2 linked regions of the Saccharomyces cerevisiae S288C genome follow. Changing the gene in region 1 together with any one later gene gives a genetic interaction. Each region holds a gene or a part of one and is shown in the gene's direction. Other genes may lie near its edges.

Region 1 (17,733 bases):
CAACCGGAATTATTTAAGACCACGGTGATTCCGTTCTTGGCAAATCGCAATATAATCAAGTCGGAAGCGATTCTCTCCAACTTGCACTCAATTTTTTATGTTGCTATATTCTACCATATTTGGTTTCTTTTTGGCAAATGGATCTTATTCCCACATTTGGTTAAATGGAAATTGGACTATGACCAAAAACATAACGTCAAGAAAGATGAGAAGACAACTTCGGAACGTCAAGCTCAACATTACAAAAAGAAGTACACTTCTTTGATCAATCAAAGTTCAGTCCACTTAATATCCCTACTGCAAAGCATAGTGGTCCTGTACTACTCATTGAAGTTCTTGCTTGATCCAAAAGCCTCGGCCGAGCCCTACCAAACCTCACACTCTCGAGTGTTTACAGAAAATCGAGACACTCAAGTCATCTGTATTTTTGCTATTGGTTATTTCGTCTGGGATATCTATATTTCCACCATGTATTCTACTTTCCCCTTCGTTGTGCACGGAATAATCTCCACCGTCGTGTTTTGCATCGGATTGAAACCGTACATCCAATATTACGCCCCAGTGTTCTTGATGTTCGAACTTTCCAATCCCTCCTTGAACTTTAGATGGTTCGGTATCAAATTTCTACCCCAGAAAAGCAAATTCTGCTCTCTACTGCTGCTGTTGAACAATTTGACGCTCATGGTCGTCTTCTTTGCCGCTAGAATCGCCTGGGGGTGGTTTCAAATTGGAAAACTATGTTACGACTTTTACCAGGTGCGCAATGAACCTGGTTTCTTAGTCTTTGACACCATTGTTATCCTTGCAGGCAATTTCGTCCTGGACATCTTGAATGTTATTTGGTTTTCTACCATGGTGTCTGTGGCTGCAAAGGTCTTGAAGAAGGGGGAGTCTGTAGACAAAGTCACTAAGAATGAACAATAATCCATGGAGGCACACTTTAACATGTGCATATATGTGTATATAGACTATAAACTTGTGTAAGCTATGCGAGCATTACAAACCTAGAAAATTACAGGCAATAAATCAATATTGATACATGGCGAATTTTTGTGGGGGGGGGGCAGGATCTTTGCCTACATTTTCTTCTTTAATTTTACCTAGACTGAGCGATTCTGCCACCTTCAGGACTACTGAACACTTTCAATGCTACTTTTGCCAGAATTATACTATACTACCACACTTTCATGTGATGAAACGTGAAACTCTAATCACGAGATTTAGGGGGAGGTGTTTCATATGCGGATAACGCCGTTCTCGCGCAAGCTGATTTTCCATTGCTTAATAAAAAGGCGAAAAGCCTCCTACATAGAGGATGATGTTGGTTTGACCGTGATTGATGTCCAAGTAGCTGTGGCTTATTGGGTATTCTTTCGGAAGCTTTTGTGATTTTTTTGTTAAGGTTTGAGAGTGGTTAATTGAGCCAAATACGGCGCGGTACAGGTAAAGAGAGAAGAATCATAAAGAAAGCTGTTTTCTTTATCCTAGTCTACTTTTTATGGCTTTGTGTGCTAAAAGAAGAAAAACAAGAGATAATTAAGTGGATTAATAGATGTCTGACTATTTCACGTTTCCTAAGCAGGAGAATGGCGGTATCTCGAAGCAGCCTGCGACACCAGGTTCAACTCGGAGCTCTTCTAGAAATTTGGAGTTACCGAAGAACTATCGTTCATTTGGTGGTAGTAGCGATGAACTGGCATCTATGTATTCCGCCGACTCCCAGTACTTGATGGATATGATTCCTGATTCATTGACGCTGAAAAATGAGCCAGCATCTGGAAATACGCAAATGAACGGGCCAGATGGCAAAGAGAATAAGGACATAAAACTTGACGAGTATATATTACCCAAGACAGACCCAAGGTCACCCTACTATATTAACATGCCTATACCTAAAAAATTGCCGAAGAGTGAAGGTAAGGCGAGGGCTAAACAAAAGGTTAACAGGGCTGATCCTTCTGATTTAGATGTGGAGAACATTTACGAAACTTCCGGGGAGTTTGTTAGAGAGTATCCGACAGATATTTTGATTGATAGGTTTCACAAATGGAAGAAAATCTTGAAAAGTTTGATCGCTTACTTCAGAGAAGCTGCCTACTCTCAGGAACAAATTGCAAGGATCAACTACCAGATGAAAAATGCCGTAAAATTTGCTTTTCTTACTGATTTGGAAGATGAAACAAACAAACTGGTTGATCCAAGTATATCTAAGTTGCCTACTAAGAAACCTCAGCCTGTCCCATTGGCCGCTCAAAAATTGGACAGCAAGTACGACACAGATGTGGAACAGCCGCAGTCAATCCAATCAGTACCTTCGGAAGAGGTAGCTTCAGCTTCTTCTGGCTTCATGAAATTTGGGTCAGGATCCATTCAAGATATTCAAGTGATTTTGAAGAAGTACCATTTATCTTTGGGTAGTCAACAATATAAGATCTCTAAGGAAATCTTGGCATATATTATACCCAAATTGACCGACTTGCGTAAGGATTTGACCACAAAGATGAAAGAAATTAAAGAATTAAATGGAGATTTCAAGACTAACATAGGCGAGCATATCAAAATAACAAGCAGGCTTCTGAATAAATATATTGCTTCAGTGAAGTTATTAGATGAAGCATCCACTTCGGGCGATAAGCAAGGTGAAAAATTAAAACCAAAACACGATCCATACCTTTTGAAATTACAACTAGATTTGCAGCTGAAAAGACAATTACTCGAAGAAAACTATCTTCGAGAAGCTTTTCTGAATTTACAATCAGCAGCACTACAACTGGAGAAAATAGTATATTCTAAAATTCAATCCGCATTACAGCGCTACTCAGCGTTAATTGATTCAGAAGCACGATTAATGATCAAAAATTTGTGCCATGAATTGCAGCAAGGTATTCTATCTAGACCACCGGCTGTAGAGTGGGATAATTTTGTCTCTCATCATCCTACCTGTCTGATGAATTTAAAATCGACAGACCCGCCACCGCAACCCAGAAGATTATCTGATATTGTTTATCCTAACATGAAATCGCCGCTGGCCAAATGCATTAGAGTAGGATATCTACTGAAGAAAACAGAGTCTTCTAAAAGTTTTACTAAAGGTTATTTTGTGTTGACTACAAATTATCTTCACGAATTCAAAAGCAGCGATTTCTTTCTAGACAGCAAGTCTCCCCGTTCAAAAAATAAACCTGTTGTTGAACAATCAGACATTAGCCGTGTGAATAAGGATGGGACTAACGCTGGCAGTCACCCATCGAGCAAAGGGACACAGGATCCGAAACTGACGAAGAGAAGAAAGGGTTTGAGTTCTTCGAATCTATATCCTATCTCTAGTTTGTCTTTAAATGATTGCTCATTAAAGGATAGTACTGACTCAACTTTTGTTTTACAAGGGTATGCTAGTTATCATTCACCAGAGGACACATGTACAAAAGAATCAAGCACGACCTCAGATTTGGCATGTCCAACAAAGACGCTTGCTTCAAATAAGGGCAAACATCAACGTACGCCTTCAGCTCTCTCGATGGTGTCCGTTCCGAAATTTCTAAAGAGTTCTTCCGTGCCCAAGGAACAAAAAAAGGCTAAAGAAGAAGCTAACATCAATAAGAAGTCAATTTGCGAGAAGCGCGTTGAATGGACGTTTAAAATATTTTCCGCAAGTCTTGAACCAACTCCAGAGGAATCAAAAAATTTCAAGAAATGGGTTCAGGACATAAAAGCGCTTACAAGTTTCAATTCTACTCAGGAGAGGTCGAACTTCATTGAAGAAAAGATTCTGAAAAGTAGAAACCATAATAATGGAAAGAGCTCTCAAAGGTCCAAAAACAGTACATATATCACTCCAGTAGACAGTTTTGTTAACCTTTCTGAAAAAGTAACGCCATCTTCCTCTGTTACCACGTTAAACACTAGGAAGAGGGCAAATCGTCCTCGTTATATAGACATCCCAAAAAGCGCAAATATGAATGCAGGCGCTATGAATTCCGTATACAGGTCAAAAGTCAATACACCAGCCATTGATGAAAATGGTAATCTGGCCATAGTGGGAGAAACGAAAAACAGTGCTCCACAAAATGGTATGAGTTACACAATTAGAACCCCTTGCAAATCGCCTTATTCACCTTATACTGGGGAAGGTATGCTTTACAACCGGTCAGCAGATAACTTAATGGCATCCTCTTCGCGAAAAGCATCGGCTCCCGGAGAGGTACCTCAAATAGCTGTTAGTAATCATGGGGATGAAGCCATTATTCCGGCAAGCGCGTATTCAGATAGTAGTCATAAATCGTCTCGTGCCTCCAGTGTTGCATCCATTCACAACCAACGGGTTGATTTTTATCCTTCGCCATTAATGAACTTACCAGGTGTTTCACCCAGTTGTCTAGCATTGGATGGTAATGCAAACGGATATTTTGGAATACCATTGAATTGCAATTCGGAAGCAAGACGAGGGTCAGATCTTTCACCTTTTGAGATGGAGTCTCCATTGTTCGAGGAAAACAGAACTCAAAACTGCAGTGGCTCTCGCAAAAGTTCAGCTTGTCATATTCCCCATCAATGTGGTCCAAGGAAAGAAGGTAATGACTCACGATTGATCTACGGCAATGAGAAGGGCGCCTCACAATCACGTCTAACGTTGAAGGAACCGCTTACATCTAAAGGTGTTGAAGCTCCTTATAGCAGTTTGAAAAAGACATATAGTGCGGAAAACGTCCCACTAACATCTACTGTATCGAATGATAAGTCTCTTCACTCGCGCAAGGAGGGAAGTACTAATACTGTACCTGCTACATCCGCGTCAAGTAAGTGACACTATGAAAACCTGTCCAATAAGACTGCACAGATGAAGAGCATGTCATTTGGTTCCTTGATAAGTGTAATAAGCAACAAGAAAGTCCTGGGTCATGTTCCTGCTGAAAATACAAACCCATTAACTACCGGAAACGAAGAAGATTAAGACAAAATGGAAAAGTTAAGTTAAACGCAATCAGTTCATATATTCTTAGATAGTTATCATGTTTTTATAAGTAAACAAAGTAGTCTTCTACCAAATAAAAATAGATTCCTGATTGGGTATTTTTCAGAAGTATCATCTGAACTTGATGTTATTTTAAAATGAAAGCCAGCGTCCATAATTATCTTTTTCTTACTTGTTTTTTACAGTGGCGGTAGGATTGGCAATGCCTGTTCATCTCCAGTTTTCCGGTCCGCTTACGACATCGGCCTTTCTATAAGACAGGTTGGCAATGCGCCACGGTACATGATGACGATAGGAGCCTTCGAATAATATTTTGTTGTGAATTCTCCTGGGAACCTCTCAAAATCAAATATGGGTTTACCTAAATCGGCATATAAGAAGTTACTCATAGATTGTCCAACGAGAGTCATTAATAAAAACTGTGCCCAACGAGTCAAAGATGTTTCTCCGCTCATTACAAACTTCGAGAAATGGTCGGATAAGCGCAAGAAGCTCTATTTCAAAGATGAAGAGGAAATGGTGGGGCAGTTCCATTTGGAAAATTTCAATTTAAAAAATAACTTATATGGTAGGCTTTTAGCTTCTCCAATGAGAGCAGAAAAAATCTCAAAATTAAAATCGTGTAGAGAATTACTAATTCCATTGAAAGTGGTACCATCAACTGGCAAAGATCAGCATGCTGATAAAGATAAACTAAAACTGGTACCTACACTAGATTATTCCAAATCATACAAAAGCTCGTACGTATTGAATTCAGCCTCCATTGTACAAGACAACTTGGCGGCTGCGACGTCATGGTTCCCAATCTCGGTATTGCAAACATCAACTCCAAAGAGCCTAGAAGTTGATTCCTCTACATTTATAACGGAATACAATGCTAACTTGCACGCATTTATAAAAGCAAGACTTTCAGTGATACCGAATGTTGGACCTTCTTCGATAAATCGTGTTTTACTCATTTGTGACAAGAGAAAAACACCCCCGATTGAAATACAAGTAGTTAGTCATGGTAAAGGGCTACCAATTACACAGTCTGTCTTTAACCTTGGTTATCTCCACGAGCCAACTCTAGAAGCTATCGTGAGTAAAGATGCAGTTACTAATGGAATTTACCTGGATGCCGACAATGACAAGGATCTCATCAAACACCTTTATAGTACATTATTGTTTCATTCAGTTAACTGATTGCGGAAGAAAAAAGGAAGGAAAGCGGGATATATCGCTGGAATTGTCTCTCTGAATTTGCCATTATTCTTATTCAATGAATACAAAACTGGCTGTCAGCGAATGGCATCATTTTGCAATCCGAAAATGAAAAATTTGGGCGCCTCGGGCAGGAGAATTCAGAACCCTTAATCCCGCACATCTACGTAAAATATCTCTGAGGTGTTCTATAGTCCATCACTTACCATCCATCTGCAAGGCTGTATGATTGATAAAGAGGAACATTAAGGGTAAATAGATTTGTTGATTTGTTTGCACTAGTGGCTTTGTATTAAAAACTTCAAGGGCATACACATGCATTATATTCAAGAGCACAACCAATAATTTACCATTATAGAAGGTACTTCTTTGAAAACTAAATCATACACTTTTTCCCACGAAAAGGCTTACATTTAAAAGCTAAGCATTCAATTTAGTTTTGCTGATCAATTTCTCGAGTAGGCTTGTCATCCATAATATCTAGTAGCTGGAGTATCCTGTTTATTGCAAGAAAAAAAATCTACAATGTCTATGTTACCGTGGTCTCAAATAAGGGATGTGTCTAAACTATTATTAGGCTTTATGCTTTTTATTATATCAATTCAGAAAATCGCTAGTATTCTCATGTCATGGATATTGATGCTGCGCCATTCCACAATACGAAAAATTTCATTTGGATACTTTTTTGGTACGTCAATAAGACGAGCGTTTATCTTAACTGATTTTGCTCAAATATATATTGGCAAGATAACCTTGCGAATAGGTTGGAAACCCGGAATTGTGTTTCATAATGTTGATTTGAAGTTATTTGGGAAGGACAGCCATATCACTGCACATTCAACTAAAGACTCCAGAACATATTTCAATCCGCGGGATCAAACTTTTACCTTTGTAATTAACAGGCGAGTCCTATCAATTTTGAAACTTGTGTTCTCATTTTCCACTTTCTTTCATACTTTAGCTCTTACAGTGCCTAATGGAAAACAATATAAATTAAATATCGGATCCATAACGATATCACACCCACACGATGATACCATAAAGTTAGAGGCATTTTTGCATGATTTTACCCATCCTGAAACGAAAGATACTTTGAACCATACTGGTTTTTTTATGGTCTGTAAAATTGGAAAGGAAGATGATACAGGCAGCAACTGCACAAAAGTTATACTAAAAAATTGGAAATCAAGTCTCAAAATAAGTGATGTTTGTTGGCATCTTCCAGAGAAGAAAGGGAAGAATTTGCATTCGGAGCCTGTTGAGCCTTTTTCTGCTGGTGATGATGCGGAAATGCTCACTTCATATCGTAAGATGCTAAAGCCTTTTCACTACCCACTGAAAACTTTGAACATTCTGGACCTTAAGGTAGAAAATGTAAAGTTGATTTACAAAAAAAAGTTTACAATTCGCATATCAAGTGCTCAACTTTACTTGGAATCAATCTCCATTCTAAATAATGTCTCCGCTTTGGAACTTTTACCCTTAAATAAGCCCACATGGGGCGATTTTGAACTATCACTTTCTGCAAATGCTGTTGTAGTAGATATCGATGGTAATACAGCAGTTAGAATTCCATTTGGAAATGTCATACTGACGTCAGATATTTTACTATTTTTACTTGACAATGTACCTTTACGGAGAACGAAGGTATCTTCCATTTTGAACATTATAAATCCTTCAGTATTCCTCACTATACATCAAGTACTGGAAGTTCTTCATTTAGTGGACAAATTCGATAGCCCTGAGACCTCATCATGTACTAACACAAACGACAGATCATTAAATATTTTAGATTTAGATATTGATCGATTGCCCAGTTTTAACTTTGAACTACTAATGTCGAATTTTATTTCAAGGCTGCATATATCAGATGAGGAGAATGTGACGTTTAAGGTCTTCAGCACACATGCTCTCTTTAGCCGTAACAACTTGTCTATGACTCCTAAAAAGGGACAAGTAATGCAAATACGTCCGGATTGGCCATTTGCGAAGACAGCCCTAGTATCTGATCAATTATCTAACTATATTAAAATTGTGGGTACATCACTCTCTTACCTGAGAATTCCAACAGAGCAGGACGCTAACCCAGTGTCTATACCAGTCTGTGGCTTTGAAAGATTAGACACATTTCTGGATGAATTTTCAAATTCTAAATTGATCGTTCAGTCTACACTAAGACATTCGTACGTTAGTCTTGAGAACATTGAAGTTTTGCATACTTTAAGTCGCGCCTTTGACAAAATTTACTTGCTAATATCTAGCAGAACAAAAAGGAATGCGGCTCATAAAGCGAATGGTGGAAAATTGGGGGACCTAAATGAAGCCAAGAAAACATTTAACTGGTCATTGAAACTTAGAATGAAGGATATTTCATGTTCGTTACTGGTCGCTGGGTTTCTTCCGAAAAATTTGGATCCTGTGGAAGCTGAGAATTTTAACTTATCTGACGTAACTAGAGGCGCCAAAGTTGTTTTTACAGAATCAATATTGTTAGCGGACAGCCAGGAGAAAAACTTCACTATTATTGATGCATCCGTATATCGTTTCATGGATGGCACTACGTATAAGCCCTCTCCTGAGGTTATTATTCAATTTACCAATTTGTTATTGAGTTTTAACGACTCAGATGAAATTCATTTTTCACTTCCCAAGATTAAATTTAAGATGGATGTAAATATTATCTGGTTGTGGTTTTATATTCGGAGTATATGGATAAAATTTCGTCCTAATTCAAAATTGAGCCGAAATTCAGTGAGCAGTGTAAAATCTGTCAATGTTCTCGATAGATTAAGAGTAGATATAGGAAAGATGATTATAGAGCTAACGCTTCCTCATAATACAGAGGTACTCCTAATATTCGAGAGGATTGGACTTTCAAGTTCCACTAAAAATCTTACAATTGCATCTTTGTCAGCGTACGTGGTATCGGTTTATGTGAAGCATATTAAGGTTTATGTTTCCTTGCTAAATATTAATGACTTTGAGCTAGACACTGAAGAGTTGATCTGCAAGAAATCCGCTGTTATAAACACCTCATTGATTCATTTTCATGCCGAATATCATTTTAGATTTTACATGATAACGGATAACATAGTCACGTTGTATAAATCGTTTAAGCAAATTAAATTGGCATTTTCCAATTTGAATGAATTTAAGCGATTATACCCTCAGCAACAGTTTCCGAAAAAAGTTCCAAATTTACATATTTGTTGCCAGGATTTTCTAATTGATATTGAAGAAGATCCTTTTGAGCAGGAGTTAGGATTAATTTTGAAAGTTGGTGTTTTGGAACAACGTGAGAGGTTAAAGAAGCTTGAAGAGTTCAAGGAAAAGCTATCAACATATGAGGACATGAATGTACGTTTAAGGTCGCTCTATGATACCTCCCGTGGACAAAGTTTTTTCCCAGAGTTTTATGCGAATGATCAAGAATATGAGCAAAAGGCCTATCTCAGGTTGTTAGAAAACTTTTCAACGTCATGGATTGCCAGATACAGGAAAGCAAAACTTTCTTTTTATGGTATGCCTTATCGGGTTATCAGCCGTGAAGAGCTTGGTACGAAATACCACTTGTTTACTAGACAGAAAACCAGTACTGTTGCTAACCTCGTCGTAAAAGATTTGGATTTTAAACTAGGCAGTCCTTCCTTCCCTTTAGACAATTATATGGATTTTGTTTACCAGTATGGAAAAAAAGTTCCAAAATCTACGGAGTACACTTTGCTAATTATTCTTGGCCTCAAAATCAAAAGCGCGTTATGGGAGTTGCGTCTGAGAGATTATCCAATACCTGCTATATCATTTCCCGACACATTTACAACAGGTGATGTTGTATTTGCTGAAAAGATGCCAGCACCTTGCGCGCTTCATACTGTTTATGTTCCTTTTGTCAGCTCTGCCCAAAGAAGCCCCTATAATGACGCCAATACAATATATGGTTTGCACATCATTCGTACAATTAATTCAGTCAAAACATATTTCAATATTAGGTCAATGGTTACATCTTCTTCATCTGCCAGAATAACATGGGGGAAATCTCTGCAACCCGGTTATGAGTCTTTGATGCTTTGGTTTGATTTTTTAACCAAACCTCTCATCGATCCGTCCAAAAAGCTAGGATTTTGGGACAAATTCAGATATTTAGTGCATGGGAAGTGGATATACGAGTTTTCAGAGGAAAGTGAGATCCACTTAAATATTAAAGGTTCACATGATCCTTATAAGATTACAGATGATGGTGCGGGTCTGGCGTTCTGCTGGTCTGGTGGCACCACAATTTACGTTCATAACTCCACGGATCCTAAAGAGTTTTTAAAAATTGAATCCCAAAGGTTTCAGTTGGCAGTGCCAGACTTTGCCAAAGTTAGTAAATTTGATAAAGTCTTTATGAAGCTCGATGGAAGAGTAATTTGGACATTAGGTTTACTTTTTGAACAAGGCGATATATCTAAGGCTGGTGACGAAGAGAGGTTCCTTCCAAATAGGCCACATTATGAAATACAGCTGATGAATCCAGATGGAGTCGCAGATTTGGATCACCATGATACATACAAAGGATTTAGAACATCTTTTATCCACATGTCATTTGGTGTCTATTCTTCTGAGCACGGATCCATAAATAGTCTCTATCTCGCACCTTACGCTTTAACACATTTCTTTAAGTGGTGGAATTTATTTCATACATATACATCTGGTCCTATTAGGCAAGGACGGTTATTTACGGATGTACTTCAAAACAAGACAAAGTTTGGTCGCTCATTATTTACAATAGCTTATCAGCTACATTTAAAACGGCTAATGGTTACGCATATTTATCGGCATATTACTACTCAATATGATCTTGAAAAAGACCGCAAAATAACTTTTACTGGATTGAAAGGGAGGTTTGATTCACTGAAAATTGATTTGCATCAAAAAAGAGTTAAACTGACCCATACGAACCAAAAATTAAATAAGTCAAAACCTGTATGGAAGTTTAAGATGTCTAGGGGTGAGATTGATTGTGCAGAAGCAGATATTAGGATATTATCAACTCTGTTTGATCAGGAAGCAGTTAAGGAAATTCTTACTTCTGGACTCGATGGCATACTTGAAGACGAGCCATCACGTCCTATTACGCCTCAAGATGTGGAATACTTGCGTGAATCAGATTGGTATGATTATGAGGATTATATAGACTTGAATCAAGTGCCGCTTGGTTCCTCACTTCCATTAAAATTAGAAGCAATACCATTGCTATACTCTCCTAGAATATCCTACTTTAGAAAAATAAATGATGATGGTTACGTACTAGCTTACCCATTTGGTACCGAAGAATCTCACAATTGTCTGATTGGCAAGAATCATCCAGAATTGACGCAGGAGAAATTAGCAACTGAAAGAAAACGAGAAATAGAAGAACAACTAAAATTATTACATATTACGTTAAGCGAATTGCAATCGAACAAAGGCGGAGGTTCGGTAAGTGGAAATTCGGAGCGCTATGCACGCGAATTAAAAGCAGAGGTAGCTGAATTAAACCACAGATTGCACACAGTCAACACCATCTTGAGCGATTTAAAAATCTCGGAGACTATTCCTGGAGGAAATACTGATGGTGATAGCTCCAGCTCACTCTCCGATACTGATGTAAATTTGGAAAATGCACCGCCAATTCAAAATAGAATATCGCTATTGAGGACCAATACCGTGGAGTCTTTTGTATCAATGAGAAAAGCCTCTACTATGCAGGTTGAGTCCACCTATGATAACCGTTTCATGGTCCATAATATCGAGTTAAAAATCGATAATAAAATCAGGCATCACCTTTTGGAATACGCTTCCAGTGCTTTCGAAAGGAAATCTATGAGGTTTGCTGTGACTTATAAATCCGTAACTATTTTAAAAGAATTACTGGGAAATGTGTTGACTGGGGTCAGAACATCTGTAGAAGATTATGGTTCAATACTTGAGGACGATTTAGCCAGTAATTCAGAATTTATTGAGCACTTTGAGAAACTCATCAGAGAAGTTCCGAGTGATGACTTTGATTATGTTGATAATTATCTTTTTAGACTAATCTCCCCTCAGGTTCAGATCAAATCGGACGTTGAAAGGAACGCAGCAGTTATTTTAGCTGCTAGGGATATAGAAATGGGAATAATTGATATAGTTCAAGTGTATGGAAAATCAGGAAAAAGAATTCCCGTTGACGTCGATACTATTGTTGAAACTCGCTATTCCGCTGTTTCAAAGGACATTCAGTTGTTTACATTGTTCAAAAAGGATTTAGAGGGTCCTGAAGGTAGATTTTTCCATAAAAATGGATATGGTTCCGACAAAGAGTCAGATATATGGCCCCCATGGATTCCTCTTGAAATGTGCTTTGACGGGTCTTTATTAGATAAGCATGTTTTTCTAAAACGGAGATCAATGTTTTTGACCTACGTCGCTCCCAATCCCCTATTTTTTAGTGCAAATGATACGTCTGCATTCTCTTATGATTCGAGATTTCGTATTGCATTTCCAGGATTGGTTCTGACCTCGGACTGTCAACAATACTGCGCTGTATATGCAATCGCAGAAGATTTACTTTCCTTTGGATCATCATTGGATGAAAAAGTTGAGAAACTTTCCAGGATATTATTTACTGATGAGGTCAGAAATAACCTGGAAAATCTTGATGTCTCTGTTGTCACAGCATTACAAGAAAGAATAAAGGAACTCTATTATACGCGAGCATACCTCAAACTTCACGAGCCAAGATTGTTTATGAAATCAGGACAAGAGCTAACCTTCGATATTCAAACTAGTACGTTGAAGTTGACGTTACTTATGACGGCAATCAAGAAAACTTACGACCGGATGGGGAGTGGTAATAGAGTAATACAGAAAAGATTGAGGTGGCAAGTTGGAACAGATGAATTGATATGGGAATTGTACGATGAGAGTAAAACTCCTTTCGTGACTATCGGATTGGGGCCCTCTACATTTATTCGTTCAGAAACTTCCGATGGCACTAATAGTAATAAAGTATCCATTTCTTCCTTACAATGTTTCAACCAGCAAGAAAATCCCGTTTACACTGAATTGCTGGCCCCCTTTTATGAAAATTCATCCTATAATAAGAACGCGCCAATGGTAGAAATTTTTTGGATCCTGGGGCCATCAGTTGGAGGTATTTCAGATCTGCAAGATTTGATTGTTTCTCTACAGCCATTGATTTTCAAGATGGATCACAAAACATCGGAAAAACTAATGAATTATCTATTTCCAAAGATAGAACAAACTTCCATAGAACCCAATTCTCCAGAACTTGTACCACGTTCTTCCACTAGTTCCTTCTTTTCATCGTCTCCAGTTTTACGGCACAGTCTTTCTAACGGTTCTTTATCTGTGTACGATGCGAAAGACGTTGACTCTTGGGACTTGCGTAGTATCCAGAGCAAAGAAGGTATCAAAAAGCATAAGGGTGATCATAGAAAATTGTCAGCATCACTTTTTGTGCAACCTGATTATAACATCAATGAAATGGTCAAAAGATCAGGGACATTTTTCAATGTAAAATCTATTATAATCCGAAAAACTCTAATGTCCGTGTGTTATAAGGGTTCACACAGCCTTTTGACCGATGTTAATAACCTGATTGTTAGAGTCCCTGTTTTAAAGTACCATAACAAACTGTGGTCGAGGGAAGAATTTTTTACTGCTTTGAAAAGAGACGTCGTAAGAATAGTTTTACAACATTTGGGAAATATTATTGGTAACAAATTTTTGCCTCATAAAAAAGAGAATAAGAAAAAAACTTCTATGGAAATACATCGATTACTAAGTCCAGATTCTCAAAATCGTGATAATTCACATATCCTTGAAGTCGAAGGGCATAATTCATTTTATAGCTCCACGCACTCTTCAGATATCAGATCAATAAACTCAGATGAAACGTATAATGAAAATGATGGAAATGGAGTAAAGCCATTTTACCCTGTTACGAGTGAGTTTTCAAAAAATAAATGAGGAAACACACACATGTGTCTAGCGTAAATATTCTTCAGTTATATAGTAATTGTATTATATACTAAAATGAAAATCAGTAAGATTTTTTTTTTACAGGCCTTCTTGGCGTTAGTTTTTCCGGTTTTTCACTTACTAAGATGAGATGATGGGGCGCACGGCCAAAGTATTCCCCATTCATCAATTTAGCATGCTAGAATAAAAAGATTAAGAGCAATATCTACGACCGACAAAGTGATCTATCAAACTGCTGACAAAAAATGTCGTTGGAAGCCATCGTCTTTGATAGATCGGAGCCAGAAAATGTTTCGGTAAAGGTACTTGATCAATTACTTTTACCATATACTACTAAATACGTTCCAATTCACACAATTGATGATGGGTACTCAGTCATCAAAAGTATGCAGGTGAGAGGTGCCCCGGCAATTGCAATTGTGGGTTCGTTATCTGTTTTGACTGAGGTACAATTAATAAAACACAACCCAACTTCTGATGTTGCTACGCTGTATTCTTTAGTTAACTGGGAATCTACAAAAACAGTGCTAAATAAGAGGCTAGATTTCCTTTTGAGTAGTAGACCCACAGCCGTTAATTTATCAAATTCTCTTGTAGAGATAAAGAACATACTGAAATCCTCAAGTGACCTAAAGGCTTTTGACGGTAGTTTATATAATTACGTCTGTGAATTGATAGATGAGGATTTGGCGAATAACATGAAAATGGGTGATAATGGAGCTAAGTATTTGATTGACGTGTTACAAAAGGACGGTTTCAAGGACGAATTTGCCGTTCTGACGATTTGTAATACTGGATCCTTAGCAACCTCTGGATATGGCACGGCTTTAGGTGTTATCCGTTCTTTGTGGAAGGATTCACTTGCTAAAACCGACAAGGCAGACTCGGGATTGGACAATGAAAAATGCCCGAGGATGGGCCATGTCTTCCCACTGGAAACTAGACCTTATAATCAAGGGTCAAGGCTAACAGCATACGAGCTAGTTTATGATAAGATTCCATCAACTTTAATTACTGATAGTTCCATCGCGTATAGAATTAGAACTAGTCCAATTCCAATCAAAGCAGCATTTGTTGGAGCTGATAGAATTGTTCGTAATGGGGATACAGCAAATAAAATTGGTACTTTACAACTTGCTGTAATTTGTAAGCAGTTCGGAATTAAGTTTTTTGTAGTAGCTCCCAAAACAACTATCGATAATGTAACCGAAACTGGCGATGACATTATTGTGGAAGAACGTAACCCTGAGGAATTCAAGGTTGTTACTGGTACAGTAATTAATCCTGAAAATGGTTCCTTGATATTGAATGAGTCAGGAGAGCCAATCACTGGAAAGGTCGGTATTGCCCCTCTTGAAATCAATGTCTGGAATCCAGCCTTCGACATTACTCCACATGAGCTTATTGACGGAATTATCACAGAAGAAGGTGTATTTACCAAAAATTCCAGTGGTGAATTTCAACTGGAAAGCCTTTTCTAGATATCATTCTAATTAGACTCTCGAAATAATTACTTTTGTACTGTAAAGGATAAAATTTCATATTGAGATGTAAGAATTATTTTTTTTTTTCATTCAATAAAAGGAACACATTAATGTATATTGTCAGAACCTTGTAAGTCCAAAACACTATAACCAACTGATACAATATGTATTGTCTTTGTTTCTGCATATTTGTAAAACGTGCAAAAAAGTAAAGAACTCCTCATAGGGGGCTCGAACCCCTGACATTTCGGTATCCTTGCTTAAGCAAATGCGCTTAAAAGCCGAACGCTCTACCAACTGAGCTAACAAGGATGAGTTCTTCGGAGCGTGTTGTATCTCAAAATGAGATATGTCAGTATGACAATACGTCATCCTGAACGTTCATAAAACACATATGAAACAACCTTATAACAAAACGAACAACATGAGACAAAACCCGTCCTTCCCTAGCTGAACTACCCAAAAGTATAAATGCCTGAACAATTAGTTTAGATCCGAGATTCCGCGTTTCCACCACTTAGTATGATTCATATTTTATATAGTATATAAGATAAGTAACATTCCGTGAATTAATCTGATAAACTGTTTTAACAACTGGTTACTTCCCTAAGACTGTTTATATTAGGATTGTCAAGACACTCCGGTATTACTCGAGCCCGTAATACAACAGAGCGTCCTTAATAAATATTTCTATAAATATTTGATGTTTACCTTCCGAAAAAGGTACATTGCCAACCTTATTTGATAAATGTGTAAACTAAGATAAGTGTTGAGATCGGATTTTGATAAAGGCATTTGTTTGGGGTGTATGAGTTGGGAAAAGAAACAACAATCATCTCTTGACCAGTTTTCCTACTACTAGTGTGTTATCATATAGCGTAAGAGTATGACATAGAGATTGAGAAACAGAAACTGAATCATAACGAACATCACAGAATTTACATTTCTACACAATTTTCAGAAAAAGTGGAGTGGTGATATATGCTTATTGTTCTACAAGTTCTCTTCATGCGTTTTTGTTTATCTATCTTATTGAATTATTATCTTCATGCATTTATACTTATTAAATTCGATGAACATTTCATATTATTTTTATATGCTTCATAATTCATGTTACTACGATCTATACAGAGTATTATCGTAATGTCTTACCTTTAGCTTGTCACTTAACACATGCACTGCATTTCGAAAAGATGCTTAAGCAAGTTTATCATAATTTGGGAGTGTTCGGTGAATTTATACAGAAAGCCCCTCCAACGTCTTATTGATAATGTATATTTAGTTCATTTACCAAAATACTATCAATTCATCAACCTCCAAGTGGTTTTGACTAAACAGCCCACAATTGACATATGTGACTGCTAAGCAGACCTTTCTTGAAGTAAATTTCAGGGAAACTAAGCTACGGCCTTTCCAAAATATGGGCAGGAACTGCTTAATCCTTTCCTTTTATTAGATAAGCACTTTAGTATTTTTGTTTTTCATGGCCTTATCCTACGTTATTGTCGTGAAAGAAATGGCAGAAATTTCTGTTGTACATAAATTACTAACTGCCTTACCTTGAAAACGGTTTTATTACAAAAATAGGGGTCAAGTGTTTTGTTATCCCTGTTGTTGTTGTTTTATAAGTCCTAATCTCGCTTGAATATCGCCCATATTCACACCCTGTTCTTGACCGTCTACTAAGGTGCCTTAGGGGGACTCAAACTTAAGATCGCCTTCTACGCGTTTTATGCTATGATCATTAGTGTTGATGCATCGGAAGTTTAAAAATTAAGTGCGAGTGCATTAGCACAGTGGAATTATTAGAATGACCACTACTCCTTCTAATCAAACACGCGGAAATAGCCGCCAAAAGACAGATTTTATTCCAAATGCGGGTAACTATTTGTATAATATGTTTACATATTGAGCCCGTTTAGGAAAGTGCAAGTTCAAGGCACTAATCAAAAAAGGAGATTTGTAAATATAGCGACCGAATCAGGAAAAGGTCAACAACGAAGTTCGCGATATGGATGAACTTCGGTGCCTGTCCCTCGAGGAAATAGCAAACTCGTTACAGCTAGC
Region 2 (15,226 bases), on another chromosome or scaffold:
GAAACTTACGGATCCCTTACATTTGAAGAACAGCAACTTAGACGGAAACTTTATTACTTGCTTCTCATGACGGAGAGATACTATGCCATATATCTTCATTGTGCGACGAGCCTGGATGCCACAATAGCACCACCGCAACTTGAACTTGTAACTGATCCTCAGCTTTCTATGGACAGTTTCCTTGAAATGATTAGGGTATTTACTGTACCAGGAAAATGTTTCTTCGATGCTTTAGCCGCTGACTCTACAGATGCTTCTTGCACTGAAGAGTCATTGAAAAAGATATGGAACGAACTCCACACAACTTCCTCGGAAATAGAGCCATGGTCTAACGGTTACATAGACATCTCATTTTCCCGGCATTGGATTAGGATACTAGCATGGAAGCTAGCTTATCAAATGAGGGGTAGCAACTTTTCATTGAACGCTAACAATGGGCAAATACCAATAGAAATTGCGAGAGATATGTTAATAGACACTTACTTAACCCCAGAGAATCTTTACGATGTCCATGGTCCCGGGGTACCAGTGAAAACATTAGAAATAGCTACTGCTTTGGTGGACATTGTAGGCCAGTATGATCATAACATGAAATTAGAAGCATGGAATGTTTTGCATGATGTATGCAAATTTGCTTTTTCTTTAAACCACTATAACAATGATATGCTGAAGAGATTTTCCACCAAATGCCAGAATGCCCTAATTACTCTGCCCATTTCTAAACCTTTACAATTGGATGGTTATCCCAAGGATAATGAAGACATAGACCCTTGATTAATTTTCATTTTTGTGCATCTCAACTTCCTGGTAAGTGATAGCTTTCCATTGTAGAAACTGTGTTTCCGCAACACAAGGGTAAAATTCACTGCTAATTGCGACCCATTTTCATGAACAGAGTAATTAATTTTCTATTTGGAGGTCTACTTTTACAAGTATAAGACTGCTTCTTACCATGATGTCTCCCTATTGAAAATTATATTTAATAAAATACTTTTAGGCACGCTAACGTTAGCATTCTTCCCAGAATTCCTATACTAACAGTTTTCAGTATATATACACTTTTTTACTGAGTGCTAAGAGCCAGATTGGATGAGATGATTGTGTACTGATGGGAGACAAGTTTAGCTTGAATAGGCTAGCTGCAATATGGATACTTTCACTCTCATCCTTTCGCTTTTGTGATTTAATTAGCATAATCAAGATGACTTTATATACAGCGCGTTGAAGCACTTAGTGCCATGTAATTACCTCATACTATTGTTGAAGAACTGTATAATAAAGTTTTGAAATTTTTCAGTGTTTGAGAAGTATTATATTTCCACATTGTAGCTAATGAAATCATACTTTCGTCAGCACTGACGCTCAAATGAATGATATGAAGTATTGCTCGACCGTTATAATGGAGCACTAGTTGAAGGGCAGAGGAACAAGTGAAATACAACAGCTGAGTGCAGATAAGTGCTATGGTTTGTTGATAATATTACTTAGAAATGGTGTATTCAGCATTGATAAGAAAGGGGCGGTACTTTTTGCTACCATGTTGCTACCTCTGGGATTTGGATATTTGAGTGAATCACCATTCGCTTATTCAATACAGAGAAGATAGATAAATGCCAGTTAATTTTAGGAGGCAAGATATTATTGTCATTTATGTTTGCCATTTAAAGCAACATTTTTATGGCAGAACATAACATTAAAAGAATCCGATCTAAATTTAACTATAATAGTTACTAGATACGGACATATCTCTAGGAACTATGAAGGCTGAAATGTCTAGAACTTTGGAAAAGAGATGTCCTTTCTGCGTAGCTTAATTCATTTCCTTCCTAAAAAGTCCGTAGAAAGAACACTGCACCTCGCCTTGGGCAGGCTCCTCAGTGAAAACCGAAGAAAAAATACTACAAATAAAAGAAGCGCGATGATACTTGTTTTAGATATATGGTTTACATCTCACAGAAAACACGTAGCCCTTGACGCGGGGAAATTAGAAAAGAAGCGATGTTTTTCACAATAATGCAATATATATCTCTATTCTTAGTAATAATAACAATATCTACTGAAGAAAAGTAATACGCCACATGAAGACTAACGACTTTATAACCTCTCGCAAGGCAGACGAGGACTGTCAGACCATTGAAAACTTGACGAACTTGTACACTAGTAGATTTCCCATATTCTTCCTCCGGTTTTTTGAAATCTTGTTTGACTTTATACTGAAAAATAGATCAAAGAAGCCATATCAGTGGCGGCTAATTAGGTAATATTTATAAAACAATTCCATTATATTCAAATTCAAAGTGATAGATTTTTGAATCACAATTTCTAATTAGAACACCTTCACCACATACTGCTAACACGAAATTTACCTAATTGTTTGTGAGGATGACGACCACATGGGTTTGATTTTTTTTACTAATCGCTTTTGTATATCAAATGCAATTTATTATTATTTTCATGTCACCAAGAAAGAATAATTCTTTGAAATGGTTGTTTATATCCTCAGAATTGGAAAATTATTTGCCAAGCGATTGTGAAACTATGTGATATGTTTTGAGATATTTCATGAACCATATAGAATATGCATAGTATATCCCAATAAAGCATTGAATTATGAATGTCGTATCTCTATAAGCTCTCACATTAATGCTTCAAAAATACTTCATAAAACATTATAATATAGTTTAATGTGATTTTTGCGTGATTCTCTCCTTCTTTTTATTAAGTGTATGGACATTTAAAGTAACAGTTAATTGAGAATACGGTTGACCTGGCATGTTGTTCGAATCAATATCCAGGCACAAGTACCAGGTGCTAAAGAAAAAGTACTCTCATATTTGCTTGATTGCTGCTTGGGCTATTTTAACTAACTACTAACAATATTTTGCTTAAAAAATGGTAAATATGAATGTTTTACAGAAAAATAAAAAATGTATATATATAAAATCTCGAGCTAGCTGAGGGTTTTGGGAGCAGTCAAAGGGATTCCTTATTTCTTCCAAAAAAAAAAAAACAACCCTTTTACTTAACATTTATCAGCTGCATTTAATTCTCGCTGTTTTATGCTTGAGGACTGACTGATACTCTCATCAGCTAGCGAATCATGTTGAGTTTTTCCCTTTCCGAATGGATCAACCACAGTAGATGCAAATTTTCTGGCAGGAACCCCTTGGTTGAAAAGTTCATTAATTTCACTGAAGGTTCTACCAGTTGTCTCAGGCAGATCGATGATGACCCAAGCTAAAGTGACTGCTGTGAAACCACCCCAGTATAGACCAGTTTTGGCACCCCAGTTCCAATCGCTCACGTTTAGCATATAGGGCGTTAATATAGCGTTAATAACGGCCATGAGATTGTAGCAAATACGGGCCAGCACTATAGTCTTAGTTCTCAACTCCGCTGATGGAATTTCAGCAACGATACAGTAAACAACTGCACCGATACCAGCATTGTAAAAGAATGATAAAGCCAGCAATAAACCACCGGCACCATTACTAGCGCTGCTTCCAGAACCAAAACCCATTCCACCAATAATAAATAAGCAGACCATTTGAAATGCAAGACCATAGGTCAGTATTGTCCATCTACCAACACGGCCAGATATTACCCAGGAGCAAAGTGTACCCGCTAACCCAAGACAGTACTGAATTAGAGAAAAAGTAAACGCCTTGTCGGTGGCCATACCTGCTCTTTCAAAAAAATATGTCGAGTAACCAAGTAAAACGGCACCGCTACTATTTTGAGCTACCCAAGTTAAACATGCAAGTCTCGTTCTTCTTCCATTAACTCCCTTGAAACAATTAAAGAATGATCCTGATTTAGATGCTAAAAGTCTTTCTTTTTCAATAGTCAATTCAATCTGCTTTAAAGTAAGATCAACTTGAATGTCCTTCTCGGCGCCTTTACCACTCAAAATTCTGCTTAAAGATTTTCTTGCCTCAGCGACCCTATCCTTTCTCACCAACCACCAGGGCGACTCAGGAGCGAAAAAGATACCGATCATTAAAGGAGCAGGCCAAATCCATTGTAAAGCAAATGGCAATTTATAGCCCAAGTCGGAGTTCCCTAAATTCTCTTGTGAGTTTTTCATAATACCAGAGGCGAAGATTTGACCAAATAACCAACAAATGTTGGAGTAACTGGTCATGTAATATCTTAATGCTAAAGGGCAAACTTCCGAAGCATAAGTAACAGCCAAACTTTGGAAACAACCCCATGGTATAGCTGAGAGAATTTGTCCCACAGCAATCATAGCTAAACTTTTACAGTAGTAGAGGATAAAGATATAAGCAGTTAACAAACCAAGTGCTGTAATCATCGTATAACGATTCCCCATAAATTCAACCATATAAGTCGTGATTTGCAAACCAATCATCTCACCACAAAGGACACACATGTTTAAACCAATCTGCCATTGGGAAGTAATTTCGTAAGAACCCTCCCCGTTCAAAGTACCGAATTTTCTCTGAAAAACTGGCAGGGCATACAGTGCGCTCAGTAGTGCGGTATCATAACCTTCCATAACCAGGGTAGTAGACACTAATATGGACCACAGGGCTGCTTTTGGATATTTTAGCAACGCCTGCTTCAAAGTCATGCTTTTTTCCTCGCTGTTAGCTTCATTTGCATCATCAGTAGCGTTCATCTCATTAATCACATTCTCGTTATCTTCGTCAGAATCTCCTAACTGGGCTGAATTGGTGGTGAACTCTAAGTGGTCTAGCTCAAAGGCACTATCCTTTTTCCCTTCTTCAAAATCTTCAGTATTGAAAACCTCCTGTTGGTTTACAATATCTCTTGAAGACTCAGAAATGTTTTTATCCTCATTTTTTGAGGCAGCCTTCTTCTTGCTTACCAATGAAATGATATTTTTCATATTATACTATTTTTTTAGTTGTTTGATGTTCTTCTATGTAGCATCAGAAAGAAACACCAACCCGAAAATTCTTCAAACAATCAATACCAAACCGCTTTATATAAAAAATTAAGATGTCGACATTCCTTATTTTTTACTGAGTTCGTTAAAGTTGGGTACACTCTTGATTACTGTAATTGTCTCTGTATGTCCCTCAAGCCCGGTACGTTGTCATTTTCTAGTACGCATCAACGGAGTGTTACATGATAGATAGACCGAGTAGAATCTATGGCTATGGGGTAATTAAAACCTTAAAGCTCCTTTCGCTGCCATAGTAATACGAATAGACCTTGGCTATAGTAAGTTGCATCTGTACCGTAGAGATTCTTGCAACTCGCTTAAACTCTCGCTTTTAGATAATATTTCTCCTTATTGCGCGCTTCGTTGAAAATTTCGCTAAACACGGGGTTTAAGTTAAAGTTTACAGGATTTATCCGGAAATTTTCGCGGACCCCACACAATTAAGAATTGGCTCGAAGAGTGATAACGCATACTTTTCTTTTCTTTTTTTAGTTCCTAGCGTACCTAACGTAGGTAACATGATTTGGATCGTGGGATGATACAAACAACGTAAGATGAATAGTTCCTTCCTCAATTCTTCTTGCAGCATCATTTTCTTGAGGCGCTCTGGGCAAGGTATAAAAAGTTCCATTAATACGTCTCTAAAAAATTAAATCATCCATCTCTTAAGCAGTTTTTTTGATAATCTCAAATGTACATCAGTCAAGCGTAACTAAATTACATAAATGACTATTTCTGATCATCCAGAAACAGAACCAAAGTGGTGGAAAGAGGCCACAATCTATCAAATTTACCCAGCAAGTTTTAAAGACTCCAATAACGATGGCTGGGGTGATTTAAAAGGTATCACTTCCAAGTTGCAGTATATTAAAGATCTTGGCGTTGATGCTATTTGGGTTTGTCCGTTTTATGACTCTCCTCAACAAGATATGGGGTATGATATATCCAACTACGAAAAGGTCTGGCCCACATATGGTACCAATGAGGACTGTTTTGAGCTAATTGACAAGACTCATAAGCTGGGTATGAAATTCATCACCGATTTGGTTATCAACCACTGTTCTACAGAACACGAATGGTTCAAAGAGAGCAGATCCTCGAAGACCAATCCGAAGCGTGACTGGTTCTTCTGGAGACCTCCTAAGGGTTATGACGCCGAAGGCAAGCCAATTCCTCCAAACAATTGGAAATCTTTCTTTGGTGGTTCAGCTTGGACTTTTGATGAAACTACAAATGAATTTTACCTCCGTTTGTTTGCGAGTCGTCAAGTTGACTTGAATTGGGAGAATGAAGACTGCAGAAGGGCAATCTTTGAAAGTGCTGTTGGATTTTGGCTGGACCATGGTGTAGATGGTTTTAGAATCGATACCGCTGGTTTGTATTCGAAACGTCCTGGTTTACCAGATTCCCCAATTTTTGACAAAACCTCGAAATTACAACATCCAAATTGGGGGTCTCACAATGGTCCTAGGATTCATGAATATCATCAAGAACTACACAGATTTATGAAAAACAGGGTGAAAGATGGTAGAGAAATAATGACAGTCGGTGAAGTTGCCCATGGAAGTGATAATGCTTTATACACCAGTGCAGCTAGATACGAAGTCAGCGAAGTTTTCTCCTTCACGCACGTTGAAGTTGGTACCTCGCCATTTTTCCGTTATAACATAGTGCCCTTCACCTTGAAACAATGGAAAGAAGCCATTGCATCGAACTTTTTGTTCATTAACGGTACTGATAGTTGGGCTACCACCTACATCGAGAATCACGATCAAGCCCGGTCAATTACGAGATTTGCTGACGATTCGCCAAAGTACCGTAAAATATCTGGTAAGCTGTTAACATTGCTAGAATGTTCATTGACAGGTACGTTGTATGTCTATCAAGGTCAGGAGATAGGCCAGATCAATTTCAAGGAATGGCCTATTGAAAAGTATGAGGACGTTGATGTGAAAAACAACTACGAGATTATCAAAAAAAGTTTTGGTAAAAACTCGAAGGAAATGAAGGATTTTTTTAAAGGAATCGCCCTACTTTCTAGAGATCATTCGAGAACTCCCATGCCATGGACGAAAGATAAGCCCAATGCTGGATTTACTGGCCCAGATGTTAAACCTTGGTTTCTCTTGAATGAATCTTTCGAGCAAGGAATCAATGTTGAGCAGGAATCCAGAGATGATGACTCAGTTCTCAATTTTTGGAAAAGGGCCTTGCAAGCCAGAAAGAAATATAAGGAACTTATGATTTATGGTTACGATTTCCAATTCATTGATTTAGACAGTGACCAGATCTTTAGCTTCACTAAAGAGTACGAAGACAAGACGCTGTTTGCTGCTTTAAATTTCAGTGGCGAAGAAATTGAATTCAGCCTCCCAAGAGAAGGTGCTTCTTTATCTTTTATTCTTGGAAATTATGATGATACTGACGTTTCCTCCAGAGTTTTGAAACCATGGGAAGGTAGAATCTACCTCGTCAAATAAAATTAGTGCCGGCTTTTTTTTAGCGCGTACTTTAACGAAATAACACATGATTTTTCACATGATTTTTGTTAGATAAATTTTTTATATGTAAATGATGATAGCGTAAAAGCACTGTTGATAATTTGTTTCACCATTATGGGTAAATGTGTTTTTCTACATGACCCTCGTTCATTATGATATTTAGCGTGTATATAAATGTGAATTCCAAATTATTAATGAGGCATAAGAAGCACTATCCTTTCTCTTCGGATGAAAACAAGGGAGAAGAAACCTGTGCTGGTATTAATGCTGAAATGTCTTGCTAAGAATCATACAAGGTGGTAGTTTTATTTAATAAAGAAAAGAAAAGGACTAGATATAAAAAGTGAAATGAATATAAGATAGCGTTAAGAGATGTCCGCAGTACTTGACACATAATTTAGCGTTTTCTCGGGAAGCTCTGTGATTTTATGATTCAATAACACAGCGTAATTGATTTCGTGATAGTTCGATCCTATATGTAATCTCACGTAACACTCAGGCGAGTTACAAAATCGATTCAACATTGCCGGCTTATGCGTTTACGTCAAGTCTGAGCATGCCTACCCCCTTCCGAACCCGCCTTTTATTGTCTAGCCTTCAGATGAACTAAACCAATCATCTGTCCATAATTCCTCTGCTTTAGACAGTGTTATTAAGCAAAAGAAAATAAGCGCATAAGATTCTTGCTACTTCAGTAACTCCACAACATTAACACCCCACAATCAATATCTAAAAGCCAATGAAGTGAAGATGAGAGGTGGAATGACGGTCTTATCCTTTGAGAAGTTTGACTACTAAAATCTGTGTCTCCTATACCATTAGTTATTGAGCTATAACTATATACCAGAGAAGTGTAGTAATTCTTCAGCAACGGGCCTATAATCTGGATACGTATGATTACTTATCGCTGTAATAGTTGTAAATTCCTCGAAGAAAAACACATGACCAGAATGATAGACATATTGAAACAGTGAATAAAAGGGAGAAAAAGGCTTAAAGGATTTCTGTATTAGTAACACTAAGCCCTCTATCAATTTCATCCAAACAGAAAGACTGCAGGTACATCCATAGGATAGAAGTTCTGTATGTAATCCGCCACTTTTTGTCTCCTTCATGTACCATATAATGAATAGAAAAACGTAGACCTAGGCGGCAACCGTTGCCTACCATACGAAGCGCTGATGCTGTTCTCCGATTATTAGTATTACAAAAAAAATTATACAATACTTATTAAGATGTTAACTTATCAATTTCCGGTATAGTTTCCGCTATGGTCAGCTTTGTCCAGTGGAAGTTCCGCTGTTTCAGAACTAGAGCTTCGTAGCACCTCGAATGCTCATTTATTCTTGTCAACATTTTTGCTGGCAGTGTATAAGACTGTAGACACCTACAATATACGACTCCGGTATTCGATAAGTCTTTCACTTTCTATTTTAAGAAAAACAGAATCTACAATTTTCCCGTAGCAACCGTTTAGCGCACAAAGATTAGATGGCCTCTGAACGAGGGTTCAAAGCAAATTTGGTTTTAGCTTTTTCTTGGCCAAAAGCTGCAGCTGCATCTCTGAAGGCACCCTAAAGGGATTCTTCGGAAGTATGTACACTGTGAGAAAACATTCTTGTGCCTTGGAAATGCAATAAAAAGGTATAGGCACTATGAAGCGTGCGCCTCGTATACGGGACCTATGAAAGACGCATCGTTCAAGTACAGAAGCACCGTAATAATATGAATAATGAATGTGGGATGAACATTGTACACTGAGGCATTTTAGGTGAGAGATGGGTGCCAGATGATAACTCGTTTGTGCCAGGGAAGTTGGCAAGACATTCATATAAATAGAGCTGCTGTAGCTATCCATCTTTGAGGTATGCGCTTTCATTTCACTATTTCTTGTTAAGCTTACATCAGCACTAAAAAACAAAACAAATACAATGGTCAAACTAACTTCAATCGCTGCTGGTGTTGCCGCCATCGCTGCTACTGCTTCCGCAACCACCACTCTAGCTCAATCTGACGAAAGAGTCAACTTGGTTGAATTGGGTGTCTACGTCTCTGATATCAGAGCTCACTTGGCCCAATACTACTCTTTCCAAGCCGCTCATCCAACTGAAACCTACCCAGTTGAAATCGCTGAAGCCGTTTTCAACTACGGTGACTTCACCACCATGTTGACTGGTATTGCCCCAGACCAAGTGACCAGAATGATCACCGGTGTTCCATGGTACTCCAGCAGATTAAAGCCAGCCATCTCCAGTGCTCTATCCAAGGACGGTATCTACACTATCGCAAACTAGAGACAAACGCCTTTACGAACGAAATTCCATAAACCTTAAGAAATAACGAAAATAAAAAAAGCTTTTTTTTTTTGATAGTATAAATAGTTCATTATATGTAAGTGTATATTAATATTGTTACTACTGGTCAATCGTGATATTTATGAACAACTTGGCGGAGCAAGGACAAGAATCCTCTCTTCCTTTTGTGGTATTCTTCGATGTGTGTCCACTTCAACGACATGGGTCATCAATATCTATGTTGAAAAAATCATATTTTAGGATCACTTGCTAGTAAACCGGTTGATGCTATTGTTAATATATAACGACAAATGTTCAAGCAATTATATAACCATTTTCTTCCATATTCACCTTAAACGAGGTCGCCTTTATTTTTTTTTTTTTTTTCAGGGCATCGATCGGCCCGGAGTCGTCGCCTTCAAATGTGTCAAATTTTTAAGATTAAAGTTATCGATCTTGAAGTTTTTCGTGGCAGGAGGGTTTCTATTTAGTGTTCGGTAAAGGCTTTCATAAGCTTTTGTATATCCCTTGATTAACAATAAATGTGGAAAATAAGAAGGGTAATTTGTGAAAGAGTCCGATTCTAGTCGATGTACAGTAAAATCACTTATTATTTAAGGATTCCGCTGCGGTATGCGTTTTCTACTGATGCGTGGAGCAAGCCACGCCATGTGATTAACCTTGCTTGATAAAAGCACCAACCCATCGTTCAGAATATGCATGGAATATAGCATCACTGGGAGGAGAAAGACAATAAGTTTTGCGCATATGGTAGGATGGTGGCACACTGATTTCTGTCAACCAGTGAGAAATAGGGAAAAAGAAAATGGTTGTAATGGTAAAAAGTAGTCTCGTTTTGGTTATTCGCAGCTGACAAACTACAAAATATATAAATTGAAAAAGTTGTATTTATCTTTACGCTAAGGACTCCTCACTGCAGGATAATTGCGCTTCTTTAATATATGGCCATAGTTCCACATTCAATGATAGAGCCCGCATAGATTTCTTTGCAGAGAGAACGCGGTAGAAGAAGTGGCTAAAAAACCATTCACAGTCAATCCCGTCAAAGAAAAACTCTTCATTCTTCCAGACTTTTTTCTCAAACAAGTACCTATTCATTTTCTTTGCAATTTCGTCCCATCCATTTGCACCACTTTCTTGCTCATTTATAATAGTCGATAAAAACTGCATCTTGTGTTCCATTTTCACGGATAAAACGATCATCCTCATATTCCGGAAATCTCTCGTCATGATAAAAAACAGCACCACAAGAAACAAGGGACGTGCTATAGTGCCATCATTTCGTGAAATGAAGACATTATGCAAATAAAAAAGGAAGAGTGGTAAACACCGCCGGTTGAAAATCCTTTTGAGAACCCAGGTAAGCTTAAATCGGTAAGCTTCCTTGGGAAGTTTAGCATCTTCCAGGCCAACAGGGCTCCATGATTTCTCAGAATTAAACAACTTCCATTGTTTTTCAACTTCTGTAAAATAAACTTCCAATGCTTCTTCAATGTAAGGGACGGAATCCTTAAATGACTTAACCTTGGCAGCTTCGTCTTTTTTCAAAGAGAAGGGTTCGAGAAGGGTTGTTCTGAATGCTTCTTGGCAGCTCATGGCACTGAAAAAAAAGTACTTGGTATTCCAAGCCTTATTTTCATAGAAGTACGAATTTAGATTTGCTGCAACGACTTCCCAATCATGAGGATCCGAACTTGGTGTGTTTTTAGTAATCTCTTTGCAAAACTGAGTGAGTTGTTTCGATAAGGAACGTTTACGAGAAAGTCTAAAAATAACAAGAACAAATACTGGTCCCCAAAACAGGACAAGAAGTGAAACCATAAGCGGGTAAATCCAATTGTTGGAAAGTTTCCACCAGACGCTAAGTGGTAGCCATAATAGCATCCAGATGCGAAACACTAAGGACTTGTAAATTTCATAACAAAACCAGGTAAAGCTGCTTCTGAAAAGATCTTGAGGTAGAACAGTCTTTTGGGATTCGAGCTGTTTGACGGATAATACATCTACACTCTTCTCATTTTTAAGTTCATTCTCTTTCATTTTCGGTAGTGAGATGGCAGTTCGAGGGGTTTTTTATTCAAAATAATAACTTCTGGCTTTTCGCTTTTATATAGCAGAAAAAAAAGCCGTCGAGGCGCGCGCGTTCATGCAATGGCTCAGTAACCTCGGGATAGAAAAAGGGCAACAATGTTGAGCTATTTTAGGCACAGAAACTTTACTATTCGAAAAGGGCATCCATTTCATTTCCGATTTTCTATCTAGCTCACTCGATAATCGTAATAGTACTTTTATAAAACTTTAGTGCGGGTACTGTGAGAGTGTGCCGTAACTTTGGTTTACATTTAAGGTGCGACCAGCAATGTCACTACTTTTACAACAACCGCCATATGGCTCGAGAATTTCATTATCACATGGAATGCCTGTGACAAAACTGTGTAAATATCTAATAGAAATTAGATGTAGCTGTCACAAATATTTACACAGGAAAGAGCCTGTCCTACGAGTATCTTACATGAAGATTCATAGAACCAATTTACTTGCGAATGTGAACAACCTTTCAACATCATTTCAATACCATTTTCCCTCCTTATGTTTGGTGTCACTGTAAAGCGGATCAAAGCAAAACATAGAGGTACGGTGGTGCTAAGATCATGCATGACCTCTGGGTAATTACTACTTCTCCCGCTTGTTTTGAGATTCTGTATATAAATATTTCAAACAAAAGGATAGAGCGCGGATGGCAGGCCTTATAGTAAAAGTTATTCGTTTTAATCATGTGTCAGTATGAGATTCTATGACAATAGTATGAGAAGATAGGGTGAAGTAAAAGTATCTGTATGACTATAGAGTGCAGTTATATTACAATATATTGAATAGATCATAATGGTATGACGATATTAAGGAACATTTAAGTTAATGACGTCATGGTGGTATAGATACGCAATTGAGTGTGTTTATGTATTATTGTTGAAAAGTAGAATATTTTTATGTTTAGGTGATTTTGATGATATTTTTATGTAATATTGACATAAGTGCATATAAATTGAGTGGTTAGTATATGGTGCAAAAGTGGTACAACATATGTATTAAGGGCATTTATACAATATTTGGGGCCGCCGAATGAGATATAGATATTAAAATGTGGATAATCATGGGATTTATGGGTAAATGGCACAGGGTATAGAACGCTGAGGCAAGCGCCGTGCATAATGATGTGAGTGCATCTAGTACTGATTTAGTGAGAATGGGCCATGGAGTGGAGTGTGAGAGTAGGGTAACTTGAGATGGTATATACTGTAGCATCCGTGTGCGTATGCCGTATCAGTATACAAGTGAGGGTGAGTGTGGCATGTGGTGGTGGGATTAGAGTGGCAGGGTAAGTATGTGTGTATTATTTACGATCATTTGTTAACATTTCAATATGTTGGGTAGAACAACAGTATAGTGAGTAACAAGATGGGGCATGGTAGGGTAATGGCAGGGTAAGTGGTAGTGGAGTTGAATATGGGCAATTGGAGGGTAACAGGTGGTGGATGTGGGTGAGTGGTAGTAAGTAGAGAGATGGATGGTGGTTGGGGTGTGGTATAGTTGAATGAGACAGGGTAACTTGTGGGGAGGTAGGGTAATGGAGGGTAAGTTGAGAGACAGGTTAAATCATATATATGTCACTGTATTGCATGCTGGATGGTGTTAGACAAGGCCGTAGGGACATATAGCATCTAGGAAGTAACCTTGTACGAAAATAGGCAATATTTCCTGTTTAGGCGATTGTGACGCAGATTTTAGTCCAACGATCTAGCGTCAAGGAATTTTTTTATAGTGGGACATTGCACCAAGGAAGTAACTTGATACGTCGTGGGTGAATGGGTCTGTTTTCTTATTCGGCGGGGTAATACATTTTTGGGGGAAGTTTGTCTGTCTGACGCGCCATATGTAGGTACGCCAAAAAGGGCTCCTCTACTTCGAAGCGCGAGGTCGTATACCTAATAAGGAAATGTAATTTATAACTTTCTATTATATTGGTCTTTTCGAGAGCGGAAGAAGTTGTAGGCTAAGCGCAGGCTAAGCGTAGGTCCATATTTAAAGTATCCAAGAGAATATCCACGAAGCGGCTGAGCAACGAACAGAATCCTGGTTCTCCTCGACTAAGCAGATAGTTAAGATACTGTGCACCATGGAAATTGAAAACGAACGTACGTACCGACTACTTTATTTTTGCAGGCCGGAAATCAAGCGATGAATGAGACATCCTTCTGCTTTCTATGTTGTGCTTGAAGGGGACAGACAGTCGCTTATCTTAGTGAGATTTCTTACTAACTGAATTTACTTTGCTGCTGCTAGAGATTTGCACCTGCATAGCGCAGATTCTGCATCTTCTCAATAGCTTAATTATTACATTCTTAGATGATGATAAGACGGAAACTGGACAATCTTTTGTTTATATTGATGGATTTCTTGTCAAAAAGCATAACAATCAACATACTATTGTTAATTTCGAAACTTACAAAAATAAAATGAAAGTTTCCGATAGGCGTAAGTTTGAAAAAGCAAACTTTGACGAGTTTGAGTCGGCTCTAAATAACAAAAACGACTTGGTACATTGTCCCTCAATAACTTTATTTGAATCGATCCCCACGGAAGTGCGGTCATTCTACGAAGACGAAAAGTCTGGTCTAATCAAAGTGGTAAAATTCAGAACTGGTGCAATGGATAGGAAAAGGTCTTTTGAAAAAATTGTCGTTTCCGTCATGGTCGGGAAAAATGTACAAAAGTTCCTGACGTTTGTTGAAGACGAACCAGATTTCCAGGGCGGACCAATCCCTTCAAAGTATCTTATTCCCAAGAAAATCAACTTGATGGTCTACACGTTGTTTCAAGTGCATACTTTGAAATTCAATAGAAAGGATTACGATACCCTTTCTCTTTTTTACCTCAACAGAGGATACTATAATGAGTTGAGTTTCCGTGTCCTGGAACGTTGTTACGAAATAGCGAGTGCCAGGCCGAACGACAGCTCTACGATGCGTACTTTCACTGACTTTGTTTCTGGCACACCTATTGTAAGGGGTCTTCAGAAAAGCACCATAAGGAAATATGGATACAATTTGGCACCCTACATGTTTTTGTTACTACACGTAGATGAGCTATCGATTTTTTCTGCATACCAAGCAAGTTTACCTGGCGAAAAGAAAGTCGACACAGAGCGGCTGAAGCGTGATCTATGCCCACGTAAACCCACTGAGATAAAGTACTTTTCACAGATATGTAACGATATGATGAACAAAAAGGACCGATTGGGTGATATTTTGCATATTATCTTGCGAGCATGTGCGCTCAATTTCGGGGCGGGTCCCCGTGGTGGCGCTGGTGACGAAGAGGATCGATCCATTACGAATGAAGAACCCATTATTCCCTCTGTGGACGAGCATGGCTTGAAAGTATGTAAGTTGCGCAGTCCTAACACTCCACGAAGACTC

The links.
Region 2: mutations in RGC1 (region 1) and PAU12 together harm fitness more than expected from each alone (negative genetic interaction), as found in Saccharomyces cerevisiae (2 studies listed by BioGRID).

What each region holds. Positions count from the first base shown.
Region 1 is NC_001148.4:753,325-771,057, forward strand, and holds RGC1 (Rgc1p), read left to right. Parts: upstream 1-1,552; coding exon 1,553-4,804; downstream 4,805-17,733. Other genes in the region: ALE2 (Ale2p), read left to right, coding at 1-924; RRG8 (Rrg8p), read left to right, coding at 5,324-6,157; HOB2 (Hob2p), read left to right, coding at 6,701-14,170; S-methyl-5-thioribose-1-phosphate isomerase MRI1, read left to right, coding at 14,428-15,663. UniProt on the Saccharomyces cerevisiae protein: Positive regulator of FPS1 glycerol channel required for the glycerol efflux.
Region 2 is NC_001139.9:1,070,941-1,086,166, forward strand, and holds PAU12 (seripauperin PAU12), read left to right. Parts: upstream 1-9,365; coding exon 9,366-9,728; downstream 9,729-15,226. Other genes in the region: transcription factor MAL13, read left to right, coding at 1-774; MAL11 (alpha-glucoside permease), read right to left, coding at 3,023-4,873; alpha-glucosidase MAL12, read left to right, coding at 5,659-7,413; COS6 (Cos6p), read right to left, coding at 10,644-11,789; YRF1-3 (Y' element ATP-dependent helicase protein 1 copy 3), read left to right, coding at 13,924-13,942, 14,091-15,226.